Coturnix japonica: one gene and its partner. The protein of the gene in region 1 purifies or fractionates together with the protein of each later gene. This does not show direct contact. Links are inferred from orthologs where the notes say so. Each region holds a gene or a part of one and is shown in the gene's direction. Other genes may lie near its edges.

Evidence for each region. The genes of interacting proteins can lie anywhere in the genome.
Region 2: the proteins of CCP110 (region 1) and CEP76 purify together in Homo sapiens (co-immunoprecipitation; 4 studies listed by BioGRID and IntAct, with this or other methods). This does not show direct contact. The link is inferred for Coturnix japonica from reciprocal best matches to the Homo sapiens genes CCP110 and CEP76.

The regions. Positions count from the first base shown.
Region 1 is NC_029529.1:8,220,809-8,228,810, forward strand, and holds the start of CCP110 (centriolar coiled-coil protein of 110 kDa), read left to right. Parts: upstream 1-3,199; 5' UTR 3,200-3,288; intron 3,289-3,317; exon of another isoform or gene 3,318-3,444; intron 3,445-3,487; exon of another isoform or gene 3,488-3,505; intron 3,506-3,790; 5' UTR 3,791-3,800; coding exon 3,801-3,938; intron 3,939-4,549; coding exon 4,550-4,678; intron 4,679-4,919; coding exon 4,920-6,546; intron 6,547-7,528; coding exon 7,529-7,653; intron 7,654-7,784; coding exon 7,785-7,959; intron 7,960-8,002. Other genes in the region: GDE1 (glycerophosphodiester phosphodiesterase 1), read right to left, coding at 117-328, 941-1,033, 1,743-1,848, 2,418-2,593, 2,703-2,957.
Region 2 is NC_029517.1:87,447,604-87,455,729, forward strand, and holds the start of CEP76 (centrosomal protein of 76 kDa), read left to right. Parts: upstream 1-3,768; 5' UTR 3,769-3,802; coding exon 3,803-3,865; intron 3,866-4,260; coding exon 4,261-4,416; exon of another isoform or gene 4,417-4,432; intron 4,433-5,060; coding exon 5,061-5,142; intron 5,143-5,521; coding exon 5,522-5,746; intron 5,747-6,472; coding exon 6,473-6,658; intron 6,659-7,419; coding exon 7,420-7,517; intron 7,518-7,955; coding exon 7,956-8,084; intron 8,085-8,126. Other genes in the region: PSMG2 (proteasome assembly chaperone 2), read right to left, coding at 515-633, 1,397-1,455, 2,270-2,441, 3,638-3,718. UniProt on the Homo sapiens protein: Centrosomal protein involved in regulation of centriole duplication. Required to limit centriole duplication to once per cell cycle by preventing centriole reduplication.

The DNA.
Region 1 (8,002 bases):
AGAGGCTTAAAGGATAAAATGGCATGCAGTAAGAAACTATGCAATCTTACACAATATCAGAGAGAAGATAATGATTAACATTTACACTTCTTTAACTCCAAAGCGTTGGCACTTACTGAGAAACATAATTTTTCTGGATGAGGAAAGCTGAAACCCCACATAATCGCCACAAGAAGCTGTGTAGGCTCCAATCTAGAATGACATCCAACATCATGTACAGATAATGCTTCCATAAGGAACTGAAGCGAGGTGTCCCATCTCCAAAGTGACTCAGCTGCCAAGGTCTGAATGTTAGTGCTGTCACCACGTTCCTGTCAGCTTGTCTCATCTGGAAGGTCCAAGGAGAAAAGATGAGTGCACACAAAGCCTGCATTAAACTGGGAGAGGTTAGATACTAATTGCTAGCTTCAGTGTGCACCTGTGTCAGAATCCTCCTCCCCTTTTCCCCCCAAGTCCTTTTGTAACTTAGGAAGCTACACGTGATACCGGACTGTTTTTTTCTTAGATTTGTACAGAATAAGCAACTGCTCTTAGATAAAAAACAGTGATGCTGGAACAGAACATTCAGGAAACTGAATCAAATACATGATAAATGGCCTTAATGAGAAGAATTAGAAAGCTGTGGTAAGAGAAGTTGATATTTACATCAAAAGATGACATTTATTTAAATGCTGCCTTGCACACAGACACAGAACTGTGTGCTAGCATACTTGTTTCTCCATAATTTTCAGTACAGAGGGAATTACTGTAGATTCAGAATACTTGCACCTAATGAGCACAGTGTGACCTAATCAGATCATGCAGTAGACTTAGGATTTAAGCATCATTTGTTTCTAATGTTTCTGCAATTTCAGCAGCCCAAAAGTACTGGAAGTTGTTTATCCTTACTGAAATTCCCAGGCAGAATTTAAAAGTCACAGAAACTTGGAGGAAACGTCACCTTATAAACAACATCTGGCATGAAAGAACAGACGATGCTGCTGTTATACAAACGAGGAAATTCCAGGTAGAGCTGTTTTAGGGCATCAACCGCCTGCCAGTGAGAGATACACACAGATGTTACATTTACAAACACACATAAGATTTACTTCACCCTGCAAAGTCATTTTGATTCTTTAAAAACACCTTCCTGTTTTGTGTAGTAAGTCTGATGTGGTGGCTGGCAATGCTGCCCATGGCAGAGGGTGTGGAACTCTGTGATCTTTTATGGTCTTCTCCAACCTCAGCCATTCTATCATTCCATGATTATGATTCTGTTTAGGAATGCTACTCATTGCTCTGATGTTTGAAATACCCTTACCTTACCCTTAAGAACTACCTAAGGCTTAACTCAAAGGGAAGAAATAATTTATTTCCATATTTTGCTAACTTGCATAAAATGTTTATGATAGCTCACCTGTATCTCCCTTCAGTAACACAAATTAGAGATGACTGGAGCCCTAGCTGGAATGGAAGAACAGATACTGGGTTCCCTCAGCACAGACAGGGAATTTGCTTTGCTTTGTTGTGATGCAAGTTGAACTCAACAGTCACGAGTCAGTTGAATTTTAAATTTTCCAGGACAAAGGAATGGGATGAGGGAACACAATGTCTTTATTTCTGATAGTCCAGCATTGGGTGATGCAAACAGCAGCCCCATTTTTACTCATGTTAGAGAAGGCACTTTACCACAGAGACCAGCTTGAGACCAACAAAAATAGGCTGAAAACCCAAAGAAGGGGCTGTAGGACAGTAAGTGGTACCTGATTCGCGTGGCCTTTGACATCAAAGTAGATTGTAAGATTGTGCTGCAAAGACTCCACTACAGCTTCTCTCAAAGTTGGTACCTTTTCGCTCTGGAATTTGCTCCTGTAGAAACAGAGCTGTCCTTTGTGATGTGGTTTTGAGATGCACCGCACACACACACATCCCCAACTACACAGAGCTGTTTCCTGGGGATTCCTAAACACAGTCAAGTGAGACACTAACATTAGGGGTTAAGCACCACCAGCAATGGCAGCAGCAGCTTTCTGATGCTGTAAAATGCTGCACAGATATAAGGATCTCTCTTCCCAGAATCCCACAACTACACAACTCTGTCCTTCCAAATTCAAGCTCTAACTCAATGCTTACTGACCCCACTGAAAGACTGGCCTCAGTTTTTCATCTCCTTTAACAACAATAAACATGCATTCAATCCCAGATGTGACCATCTATCCTCCCACTTCATCCTGCTTCAGTGGTGTTTCCTAGCACCGATAACACAGATCCTGACAGAATAAGCAAGACAAGCTGAAGCTGCAGGAGAAGCAGCTTCACGCAGCAAGACATTAATCCTGATGGGTGACTGCAGCTGCATTAGTTCTCACTGTGGCAGTGACAGACTGGGAAGATGCTGCTTGTACCGCCAAGGGGTCTGTGCTACATGTTTCATTTACCACAGCCTGTGTTTTGCAGATGGATTAAGCTTCCGAATCTCATCAAAAGTCATGTCACACAATCTTCCAGACCCATCAGTTGTCCTTTCTACTGTCTCATCGTGCATTAGAATGGGAACGCCATCCGCGGTAAATTCAAGATCCAGTTCAACACCTGTTGCTCCATTTTCAGCTGCCTTAAAAGAAGGAAAAGATCATCACACACACAACAGATAACGGCTTTCAGTAACAGGTAATGGCTTTCAGTAACCGATAACGGCTCACAGCGCTGCTGGGCGCTCTCACCTGTCTGACGGCCCCCAGCGTGTTCTCGGGGGCGTCGTGCGCTCCGCCGCGGTGCGCGATGCGGGCGGGGCCGCCGCGGGGCCGCAGGACTTGGCGTGCGCTGTGCGGGGGGGCGGGCTCCAGGCTGAGGACGTGCAGCAGCACCAACGGAGCCGCCGTTAGTACGGCCAGCAGCACCGGGCTGCGGCTCAGCGCCAACAGAGCGACCAGCAGCGCCGGCACAGCGCACAGCAGCGCGGCACCGCCGCACAACATGGCGGCAACGCACCGACTGCGCCGGACCGAGGGCGCTCAGCGCCTCAGAGAGAGGGCGCCGGTGTTGCCGTCCCGTTCAGCGCCGCCGGGCTGTGACCGGGCCGTTACCGGGCTGTGACCCGTCTGTCCGCCCTCGCGGCTGCCCGACACCCCGCACGGTCACGGACAGACTGGGTTTAGCCCCGCCCGAGCTCCACACACCGACCCGCCCCTTCCGCGCTCGTCTGTGTGTCGCGGTGCCGCTGGGGGCCGTAGTTCCGTAGTCCCATAGTTCTGTAGTTCCGGGGCTGGGCGGTTGCCGGGCTGCAGGCGGCGCCGAGCGCCCTGCGCGGTACCGGGCCTGCCGTCCTGCTGGGGCCGGGCGCGGGGCTGGGGAGGAGGCGGCACGAACCGGGCGGGGAGCGGGGCCGGGCCGGGCCTGCGGGCTGCCGTGCTTGGAGCCGCCCCTCGGGCTCCTGGCGACACCGGGCTGCGTTTTGTTGTGTTGGTGGGTGTGTTGGTCTGTGTTCGTACACAGGGGTAGGAAGGAAGGAAGGAAGGAAGGAAAGGTTGGTTCGCGGGGACGAGGCTGTCAGCCCTGTGGATGTTGAGGCAGCTCTCGGTTACTTCAGCTCGCTGACTGGCAGCGTGTCTGTCATTGTGCTCCTGTTCTGTTGCGCTTCATAAGAAAACTGGCTTTTGCCGCTATTGCTGTTGGTAGGAAGAAAGCTCAGTTAATTGAGCTATTTGACGTGGGGTTTATTTCCCATATACAGCGTGGAATTGGTCGTGTTGTTTTTCTTTCGTGGCCTTGGAAACACAATAGGGTATGTTTATTATCCGTGCTGTTTTAGCTGCGTGAAAATGGAGGACTACGAAACATTCTGCAAGCAGCATCTGTCCAGAATCCAAGAGGCAACAAAAGGAGAGAACTCACCCGCTCTGCTGGACAGAAACGTCTCCCTCATTCAGTTCCATGGAGTTCCAGTGCTCTCCCCTCTGGTAAGGTGCTTTTTAATCCCCTGTAACATTAACTGTGTCATTGGCTTTGATGTCTGTGTGTACTGACTGTATTGAGAGCACAGCTCCATCTGAGGTGTTCTGGCCTCTGCTAAGTGCATTTGGAGCATCCCTACCTTTCAATTTATAAGCTAAAGGAGTGATTCTTTAAATTTCTTATTTTTGCAGTGTGTGTTTGCTTTCATTTCTTGATATTTGTTGTCTGCGTGAGGAGAGTGAGAATATTTGTAGTGTTAAATTGGTGACTGTTAATGCTGTGCTCAGCTTTGTGCAACAGCACATCGACACTACAAGCATTGAGTAACATGTGAGCTGTTGATGGTCTGTATCATAAAGCAACCAGCTTCTTTGCTTCGGTGTTGGGAAGTATGGACGGAGAGTGTCCCTAACAACAGTCTCCAATGACAGGATATGTGTATGTTTGTTTAAAAAATTTAAAAAAAGGAATTTGTTTAGAAAGAATCTGTCTATTTAAGTGCACACCAAGTTTCAACGTTGGTGGGTTTTGTTCCTTTTTGTTTTTATTTCTGTAGTTCTATAATGTAACTTGCATTTAGTGGTATAAACTTTGTCTCTCACACTCTGTTCTGCAGCTGAACTTTGAAAAGAGAAAGGAAATACAGCAGTATCGACAGAAAGCGCTGGATCTAGAGACATGGAGACAGAGCTCCCACAAAAGAGCCTTAATGAATCGTGTTCAGGAGATTCTAGAAAACATTCAGGTAGGATTTGGACTAACTCTTACAGCTTTAAAGGAAACGTCTCCTTGTGTGTGTTTTGAGAAAGGGCTGGGGTTTAGGTATTCACTAATACAAATCTGAAATGAATAGCAGTTAACTTACAAGAACCAGCATTCACTTAAGGTTAAGGCAGTGCTCATTTACGTACAGGTAAAACTTGCAGTAATCTGGAAATCACAGATTTCATCCAAGCTACGTGATATTTTTCAACTTCTACTTGCAGAACAGGAAAGTATCTGGTACAAGTGACGTGAACGTTCAGGATGCTGGGAATACCTGCCCTGATGCAGACTCAAAAGCTTTGACTGATCTCACAGCTCTGTCAGATGCCAGCTTGCCACGTTCTGAAAGGCATTGTCCTGTGCAGACTGAAAAAAGCCAAGAGCTTTTGCCATCGGACTCTGTGCAGCGAGTGACATCAAATGCAACAGAAGTAGGTAAACCAGCGGAAGAAAATGTTCCTTCAAAGGAAAGTGAGAGTCACTTCTCAAGAGATGTTCCTTGTCCAAGGGCTGCGTCTCCTGACGTTGTGCAGAGTAAACTTGTGTCCCCTGCTTTGCAGAAGCAAGAGGGACAAGGAGTGCCGTCATCTGAGAAGGAAGCCCAAGATCCATATGCAGTGAGCCTTCAGAACCTGATTAAAAAGTCTAGGGAGTATGTAGAGAAAGAGCAAAGCAGGCGTAGCTCTAAAAGCAGTTCAAGGAAGAGTATGAATGAAAGCCATTCAGATAAAGAAAATGATGCAGTTAAAACATCGGACTCTGTGAAAGAGAGAGCAAAGGTTACAGGCAGAAGTTCCACTGCTCTGCCACTTGATAAACCGTATCTTAAATCAAATACTCATATTCAAGGTGCCTCTACTCATACAAGTAACACAAGTATGTCAACTTTATCCAGTTTTTCCAAAGTGGATATACCTATGAGAGTTGGGACACCCCCGTTGGTGGATTCGGATTCAGATGAAGAATTGAAAAATCCTTCCGCCTTTGATCGCGACAGCAGCATTGTCAGGAGCCTCACGGGGTCGTACAGCAAACTGCCGAGCCCGGAGCTAAGCATGAGTCCAAAAATGCACCGGAGGCGCCCAAGGCCTTTATCGATGGGACACATAGTTATAAACAACCCTGTGAATGCTTATGAATTAAGTCCCAAAGGCAAGGGTAGAGCAATGGATTTAATTATGCAAGATATTGCTGATAAGAATAACATATCTGAGTCAGTGCCGAAGTTCATGATGGACTTTAGTATGCTTTGCCCCAGCAGAGTTCCTGGTGTCATCAGGAGTTCTTCAGGTCCTTCTGATGGGCTGCTGGCTGGCAAACCAAACAGACATTCCTTTGGGCACTCAGAATGCAAAGGGGCATTGTCTGCTGCAGTGGAAGGGCAGGTAGTGATGGACAACAGAGGACCGTATAAAGTAGAGACTGGTACCGTGGGTCCAAAACCGATTGAGCCATTCTCCACCCATCAGTCTACAGTAACACAGAAGCTCCTAACTGTGAATGAGACCAAAGCATCCAGTTTGCAAGAAAATACTAAATCTCCAGTAGAACTCAATAAATCTTATGATGTAGAAAGCCCGTCCCCACTACTGATGCAGAGCAAGAGTATGCGCCAGCAGATGGATCCAAGTGTTCCCCCAGCAAACGAACAGATTCTAGAGAACAGCTTTGAAAAGGTAAAACGTAGACTTGATTTGGACACTGACAACTGCCAGAAAGACAGCAACCCCTGCGCTGTAACTGTTGGAATGGAGGAACAGGAGAAGCAATGGCTGCAAGAGCAGAAATGTCCCATGGCATCAGTTTACATTACCAAGAATGCAGCCCCTGATTCAAATATGGCAAAAGGTAAAAGATTTCCAGTGTTTGTTTTCTAAACTTCTCGGTTTAGAGAATCTTCTAGGGAAAAATGATTTTTTAAATATTCTAATCAATCTTATTAAAATTAATGCAGCTTTTAATATTATAATTTATTGTAAGATTAAAAATTATAATTGTTGGTGATTCTAAGTACATATCTATCAAAAGGCAGAAGTGTTATTCTGGCAGTTCTCTTTTTTTCAGTAATCTCATCTAATTTTTAATTAATGACCAATTCTGAATTTCAGCTGCTACCTGAGCTGTGCTTAATGGCTGCACAACGGGCTAGTTGCTCGTTTACAATTCACTCATGGAAAGAAGTCTTACAGCCCTCTGTAACAAATCCTTCATTAAATACTTTATGAAGAAGCATCAGATGAAACGTTTCTCAGTTTTGTGGATTCTCTGTTTATTCTCAGGGATATCACTTTAGGCAAAAACAAAAACCCAACACGTTCTCATTTGAATGTAGAAGTTTGAACTTAGTTTTACTAATATAATTTCTTGTTCTCTTAGATTTAAGTAAGACTACTAAAATGAATTAAAAGAGAACACCTTTCAGCAGCAAGGTTGCAAATGACTATATAGGTGCTTTTGTCATTTCAAGACTGTGTTACATTTGTGTCTTATCAAGTTAAACCAAAGTGACATTAATAATTTTAGTTTACTCAGCAAGTGTGGGTATTGTGTTCCCAGATCCAGATGTTTTACATCCTTATTCTAATACAGTCTCCATTGGTGTTACTGCTGTTCCATCCACATACTAATCCCACAAAGAGGAACGTGCAAATATTCTGAAGGACTGTTGTAACTGAAAGGCTTCTTTGCGATGCATAATGGCAACTTGATATAAAAAATGTGCTTTTTATTGAAGATGGAAATTTCTCTTTTGAAGCAAATATATCTGTGACAAAAGATCACATAGAAAATATTTAATGCTTCATTCTTTGTAATGCATGTGTCTTCTCAGAAGAGATTTTAAAGACTAAAATGTTGGCCTTTGAGGAAATGAGGAAGAGACTCGAAGAACAGCATGCACAACAGCTGTCAATTCTGATAGCAGAACAAGAGCGGGAGCAGGAGAAACTGCAGAAGGTAAAGCAGAAAGAGGAGAAAGTCTGAGCTGAAGTCCTGTGTGTTTGTCAGGATGCAGATGGTTTTGAAATATACATTTTGTTGTGTTGCAGACAGAAAACAAGTCTTACAGCTGATTTTTTCTTTCATAGGAACTGGAGGAACAGGAGAGGAAGGGAAAGAAGATCGCTACAACAGAAATAGAAATATCCAAAGTGAATATTAACAGTAGGATGGAGTTGGAGTGGAGAAAAAGTGAAAGCGGCTTAGTAGAAAGTGTGCAATCTCAGCTGGAGACAATCCATAATGCAAACTCTACAAGCATTGGTAAAAACTGACTGCTAAAATTAAACTGAGGGTCAGATACAGA
Region 2 (8,126 bases), on another chromosome or scaffold:
TGGCTGTTCTTTAAACTGCATGCAAACAGCACTGGGCCTCTATCTGGGATGCACATAGACATAAGCCTCCTTTAAGGCTCTACACAGGGATGCAGCCTGGAGATCTTGCTATACTGAAAATCCTCAACATGCAGAACAATTAATGAAAGGTTAGGAGACTAGCTAATATTCTACTAAATCTCAAACATCTAATCAGAGATCTCAAGCAGCTGCTGGTCCTTGACATTGCTTGCAACAGAAAGAAATAAAGAAGTTAAAGCTGAGACTGACTGTGCAGGCCAAGCACGATGTCCTTACAGAGTATTATTTGCTCTGGACTTTCAGCAGGAGTAAGTTCAGAGACTAGCGCTGTGTAACACGAAACATTTGATACGATATTAAAGCAAGATGTCCTGTCTACACAGCAAAGCAAAATAATAAAAAGTACTACAAAAAGAGGGGAAAAAAAAAAAAGAAGTCAGGCTGCCAAAATGAACATAAATATTAAACAGATCTTTTAAGGACACAAACATACCCAAGGAGCTGTTCGTCATCGCGCTGGTATGCGTGGCTGCTGGACAGAAGAATGACTCTGGCACATTTGCTGCTTTCCACCCAAGAAAGCAGTGTTTGACAGAATGGCTTGTATTTGTCCTTCATGCAGGGACAGAGAATGAAATAGAAATGTTTTGTGTTGATAAAAAAACACCCAAAGCCAACAATATGAGATGTCGTATTTAACGTTCAGCTTTTTATATGTTTTTCTTCACATCCCTTAAGCTCACAGGTTCACATTTACTTTCAAAAAGCGGAAGACTGGCAATTTACCTCATTAAAGCTACACACATAATGATTACACTCATTAAAAGCACACAAATAACAACAGCTTTGTGTGCCGTAAGTACTAGTGGAAACAGCTTTAGAACGGGATGGGATAATGTGTAGATCACACCATATTCTTCCAATTTTTGCCAAAAAGCAATAGCAGAAATTAAGCCATCACAATACAAGATACAAACACGAGGACAAGAGCTGTATGAAGAAAAGAGAGATGGACAAAACTCAGAACATTCTGTGTTCTGTTTGAGACTATTAATAACTAAGGACATGTTAACAATACAGCTGAGTTGTTTTGGGGTTTGGAAGAACAAAACTAAACCTCAGCCCTCAGCGAGAGCAGAAATCAGCTCTGAGACAAAACTGTATCCGACACAGAAAGCGTTACAGCACTGAGCAGAAAAATATCTTGCGAGACTTTGGTCTGGTTTAAGAAAACGTTTCCTAACCTGGCACAGTTCTTCTCATTGTACTTCTTTGCTTTGTTTGAATCATTCTGTAAAACTGACCCAGGGTGCCTGAACCATCTGCACACAGAACTGCAACTACTGACGAGTGAGCTCAGAACGGATGCACGTACCTTTATAAAAGGTGATCTGATCTGCAGAACTACAAGCTTCTTCGAAGGCAATGAATACACTAAAAGGAGAAATAATAAAGCTTTTTAACAAGAAAGAAATCTGGGCTTTACAAACCTGAGGATAACCTGAGAGTTATCAAATCCAATTGCTGGAAAACCTGATTGCTGTTAAAAATAGCTCTTTATTTTTGTGCAATGTCTTCACTGGACTTAATTTCACTTTAATTTAATTAATTAAAAAATTTAAAAAATCTTAATTTCACACAGATTCAAAGGAGTGAATGAAGCAGAACATAAGATCTGCCCCCTTATGATGATTCAGGAAATTCTTCTGTGCAGCTTTACGAAGTTTATGAAAGATTATTTTGAAATTTCTATGATTTAAGAGCATAAAATAGAAGAGGAATTAAAAAAAGAAAGAAACGCCATAACTGAGGTGGAGCAAAACCCAGTGAATTTAAGGGGGAGGAACAGCACAAGGGGGAAAAGACAAACACAGGAGGGAAGTGAGAAATCCCCTTCTACACCAGAACGCAGCTTGCATTCCTGCACCTAAACTATGAGCACACTTCATGTTGCTTAGGATTAAAATTGTTGGGAGTTTTGGCTGCACTGTAACACGATTGTGAGCCAGCCAGCATTACTGGTTGCATATGTCAGACTGGTTATCAAAAATAAAGTAAGGCCTACTAACGGTTTCCTCTGCAAGTACAAACACATTCTTATTTCTAAGAGACTTAGTTACTGAAACTGTTACTAAGGACTTTAGTTTAAGCACAGTCCCCATAAGCAAAATATAACAACAAAAAAAGTAAATGCAACCTTTTTTGCTCTGTATGCTTCTTGCAAACACCACAAGCATTTAGTACACACCTTCAGCGTTTATGCTCAGCTCCATTGAGTTCTCCTTTGTTGTTGCATAAGGATTATTCCCCACCATCGGCACCAGGCAGTCGGTGTAGAAGTAGCCCACTTTAGGCATGCGAAGTGTGGAGATCACCAGATCTACTGCCAGCTGGCCAACGTTTCCTACCGACACTGCTGGCTGAAGCAACAGAAGTCAATGGATTACAATGTGCTTTATAGACAAAATGCTCTCCAAACAGTGAAGGTACAAGACATTTCATTTCTGACTAAATGTGATTTCTTTAATTGACAGCTCATTTTCAGACAAAGATGACCATCCCTTAGGTTGGTCACCCAGAATCACACTGGTCACTTCTGTGAATAACCCTGTCTCTCGCTGTAAACTTGAACAAAGGTTTTGAAACTTTTTTTCCCCCCATATATATATATATATATATATACATATATATATATATATTTTTTTTTTTGGGGGGGGGGGGGGGGGGGGGGGGGGGGGGGGAGGGAGTGGGGAGCATAGAATTGGCAAGTCGCTCTAGAACGCAGAGATTGACAGACCTCAAGTGACACCTAATGGTAACGTTGATATTACACACTCAACTACAAGTCTCAGCTTGAGCAATAGGTAAGAATGAGGCGTCTTCCAGCGCCCTGGTTTCGGCTGGGATAGATTTAATCTCCCAGCAGCTGGTGTAGCAGCGTGTTTTGCATTTCAGGTGAGCCCAGCGCTGTTACCACACTGCTCTTTTGGCTGCTACAAAGCAGCGCTTACAAAACTAAGGCCACTTTGGCTCCTTGTGTTGCCCTGCCAGCGAAGTGCTGGGGGGCCAAGGAGCTGGGAGGGGGAGGAATCAGGGCAGCAGACCCAGCCTGGCCCAGGGGACATCCCATGCCATAGAATCACAGAATGACCCGGGTTGGAAGGGACCTCAAGGATCATGTAGTTCCAACCCCCTGCCTGGCAGGGATGCCATGTGGTGAAGTGCTCAGCAACACAACTGGGGGAGCTGGCTGGGGGCTGCTATTGCCTGGGCATCGCTTAGAGGGTGGTGAGCAATTGCAGCGTGCTTCATTTATTTACGTTCTTCTCTCATTATTATTTCCCCTTTTCTGCCCTACTGTCAAACTATCCCAGCCCACATGTTTTACTTCCCTTCCGATTCTCTCCCTCACCCCCTGAAGGTGTATGTAAGCCACGAGCCGCAGGGATGGGACACGGAGGATGGTTTTAAGCTAAAATGGGAGAGATTCCGGTAATAGGAGGAATCTCCTCACTCAGAGGGCGGGGAGGCGCTCTGAAGAGAGCTGCGGGTGCCCTATCCATGAAGGCGCTCAGGCTGCAGCCCCCCCGACCTCCGCCCCCCGACAACCACTCACCATGAGCAGCGTGAAACCCTCGAAATCGGGGCTGCCGCCATCGCAAGGCACGAACATGCCGGCAAGGCCTGACGGAGACATGGATGCCACAAGGCAACGCGCAGCTCCGCCCGCTTCCCGTCCCCCTCACGCCGCGGCCGTTGGGGCGGAGCTCCTCCCGCCGCCATGGCGCTGCCGCCGGGTAAAGGGTCGGAGCTGAAGCAGCTCATCCAGCAGCAGCTGCTAAAGGTGAGCTGAGACACACGGTGTTTTGCATCCTTGATCGTGTGGTGCCGAGGGGGGGAGGAAATGGGCATTGTCTGCTTTTGTGCCTTAGAGAACTAAGAAGCGGCCATCCGAAGTTTTTAGTTCTTTGTCCCCCTCAGAAGTCAGACGGGAAGCTGTTGGGTTTGCAGGTTTAAGGCGCAGAGCAGTGAATGCGTTCAGGCTCGTTGTGCTCATAACGTTTTTAATTGGTAGAGCTGCTTTAGGGAGGCAGTATGACTTCTTCAGCTGGCTCTTATTTAATCCAAGAACTCATGGGCTCTATGTGCAGAAAGTACTGGCAGTCCTACAGGATGCTTCTTTAGTTGTAACTGCTGTCAGGAACTTCTATCTGCAGCTTGTAAGAAGTTCTCTTTCAGATGGATGTCCATGGAAGGATCCGAGAAGTTCTGGCCGAGACGATACGTGAGGAGCTGGCGCCTGAGCATCGGCAGTTATCCACGGAGGATCTGATAAAAGCCTTAAGACAGCGAGGAATCATCGATGATGTTATGAAAGAACTTAAATTTGTCACTGTGAGAACCTCTTCAAGTGTGAAGATACTTTGCTTATTCCTCTTAACTGATGTGGTGTCTTGTCCAAGTTCTAACACACTAAAAGCATAGAATCACAGAATAGCTTAGGTTGGAGAGGACTAACCCCCTGCTATGAGCAGGGCTGCCCTCCACCAGCTCAGCTGCCCAGGGCCCCATCCAACCTGGCCTTGAGTGCCTCCAGGGCCTCCAGCTTCTCTGGGCAGCTGTGCCAGCGCCTCACTGCCCTCTGAAATAAATTCTTCCTTCTATCTCATCTGAATCCATCATATTTCAGTTTAAAGCCATTGCCCCTTGTCATAACTCTATGCTCGCTGACGAAGAGTCCTTCACCTATTTTCCTGTAGACTCCCTTTATGTACAGGAAGGTACTATTTCTAGTAGTTCAAAAAGGCTTTAGTGACTTGTGATGTTTTAGGACAAAACAGTGTGTGCTGTATTTGGTGTAGTGATAATACCACAGTGTCAGCGTTTGCTCAGTTTTTGTTAAGTCTCACCTATTAGCAGAGGTTGTACAAGAGGAATAACATTTGATTGGGAAGGAGAATGCTTTAAATTATAGAAGGTTGAGGGAAGGCTGCTGCTGCCTCAATTAACACCTTAAAAATTCTTTATTGTGATTCCAGGATGTGAGTGGAAAGGAGAGGGCTTCATCTCCAAAACCATCAACACATTTTGTTGATAGAGAGCCACCGGTTATGAAAAAAAGTATGTTGCTCATTTGTTCTCATATTTCTGGGTTGTAGTTTTGATAGAAATGTCAAATGTAGGATTATTGATCTTGGAATTAATAATACAACATGAACTGGATTCGTTTAAAGCCTCCAAAGAGGAGAAAAATATGTCTTGCTTATCTAAAGGATGTAAGTTTGACTGATACAGATTCAAGTTTTATGTGACGTTCATGTTTCATTTATTTTACGTTAAAATAGCATCCATGTATTTTAGAATCACTTTCTCCTAGGGACTTATATACAAAAACTTTATTATTTCTTTTTATTTCTCTTCTCCTGTTGGTTAGCTGATGTTTAACATGCTTCCTGAGATCTGTTTGTAGTCTCTTCATTTTTGTTGCTACGCTTTACAGCTAACATTGACCCAACACGAAGGTATCTTTACCTTCAGGTTCTGGGTGGAAAAGCTTTTCTGGAACATCTTCAGGAACCGGATCCTCTGCCTGGCCAAATCTGTTCTACTTTTACACTATGTCTTCATTTCCGAAATCAGCGTTTCCGTTCTAAACCCGTTCCCTGTGCTTGTGAGCCAGATTTCCATGATGGTTTTTTACTTGAAGTTCACAAGGAAAGCCTAGGTAAGGAACATCATGACTTTAAAGCTGATGCTATGTTGTTTCTTTTCATAGAATTACCCAGGTTGGAAAAGACCTTGAAGATCATCAAGTCCAACCACAGCCTAACCAGAACCCTAACTCTAAAAACCCTACACTAAATCATTTTGCTTTGTTTCACTGGATTTCTTTTTGACTTTATAGTTATTCCAAAACAGGTCTGAAATTATGTAGTGTGTTTCTTTCCTATTTATTACTAAAATTTTTTGTAGGGAAATTGATGACTATTAGATTTCACTTCTAGATCCTTCTCTATTCTTACCTTGTCTTTTCTACTCTGAAGTTACTGCCATGGTCCTGGGCTTTGGGTGTTCCTTCTTGAGCAGGGGTTAGGCCAGCTGACCTCCATAGGTCCCTTCCAACCTTGAGCATTCTCGTGAAGGTGGATAGCAATTTGTCACCATGCAGAAGGAAAAACTTTACTTTGAGCTCAGTTTGCTATGAGTTGTTCGATGACTGACTTCCACGGTTATCTGTCGCCTCTATTGCCTTTCTGCCGTTGGTAGCCAGGAAATGTGGTGGCAGATGAATGTTATGAGAAGAATTCTGGAATCAATAGTGGTGTATAATAAATAGACCTGAAGCATTCCATGTTTTCAAGAGTGCAGTTATTTACCTAAAAAGTAGTATTATTTTAAGGAGGACTTGGGGTGATATTCTGGCTATTTAATGTTGCTTTATTTCTGGCAGGTGATGGAAGTAAAATGGTGGATGCAACAACTATGTTATCTGTATGTGATCCAGTGCATATGGTTCTGATCAAAACAGACACGTTTGGTGAGACAACGCTGGTAGCGTCCTATTTCTTGGAGTGGCGATCTGTCCTGGCTGCAGAGAATGGCATCACAAATGTTGCTGTTGAACTCCTGGGTGTAGGTAAGAATAACTAATGAGCATTTAACGATGAGTTAAAGTATTGCGTACTAAGTTTGATTAGAAGCTTAAAGTAGTATTTATGGTTTGGTTTGATTTCAGTTCAGCTAATCAACTCATGAATTACTTTAAGGTATCAACTCATGAATTACTTTAAGGTATCCTTAAGAAGAGTTTATATAAAGGACTAATGGTCAGATTTTTGTCTTATCAAAGTGTTAAGAATGTGTGTTCCAGATCCTGTGCAATAGTGGTCCCTGTACCTGGGAGCCTCTGTTATCTCCAGGATGTGGGTAAACTATCAAAACAAACATAAATCAACAAATGCGTCTCCAGGAAAAATACCGTGTCAGTGTTCTCAAGTGTAAAATCTAGCTTGTCCTGTGTAGCAGTTATGATCCTGCTCTAACCACAGTGATCTGAGCAGTGAGTTGTACATTCAGTAACAATGGGCACTTGTACACTGTGGCTCTTCCAGTCTATTTGTAGGTGCCTATTCTAGCCCTTACAGAACAGCATTCATCTTGTATGTTCTGGTATCACCTGGAAAGAGGCCCTTAGGGCTCAGATCCAGTTACCAGCTTCTTTAGCCAGGTTATCATTCCTTTCATTCTTGAGTAGAATATTTCAGTGAAGATCTTTGTGTTGTATGTACTTAGAGAAGTTTATGGGGTTTTATTTTTATGATGGTATGATTAAAACTATTATTTGTTCTGTGTCAAATGAATTTGAAAGGACTGATAGGAATGTATTTTGGTTCAAAGGTACAGAATCAAAGGTTTCTGTCGGTGTTTTGAACATCAGACTTGAAATGTATCCACCACTTACTAAGACTCTGTCTCCAGAAATAACAAGCACTCAGGTAAGTAATATGTAGGGGGTGAGGGATGGCCTGTTCTTTTATCAGCAGGGGGGATGCACACTGTACAGTTATTTATGTAGATAAAGGGTCGGTTACTCTACTTGAAAAGCCAGTAAATGGTGGCCCAAAGGTGTTACAGATATTATTCCACACTTAGCAAGGTGAGTAGTCCTTCTATACAGATATGCGTCACTGAAGATGAACACTACTTCAGTCAAGCTTGATATATCAGCCTACAAACAAGAAATGTAAATTGAGTTTTACATTCATTGGATTTTCACTTTAAAATACTATTCTTTAGCATTGGTTGCATGCTGTCATATTAAACTTCATTTTTCATATGCAAGGATCATGTGCTAGTATGTATATTGATTACTTTTTGTTCTTGTTTGGAATTATTATATGTGTGAATGGTTGTGTGTATTTTCCTACCTGTAGTTTACTTTGGAACGTCAGAAGACAGCAGAAAAAGAACGTTTATTTCTTGTGTATGCTAAACAGTGGTGGAGAGAATACCTGCAGATCAGGCCTACACACAACTCAAGGCTGGTAAAGATTTTTGCACAGGTTTGTATATTTTACAAATACACCAATCTGTTCTTCAAGGTG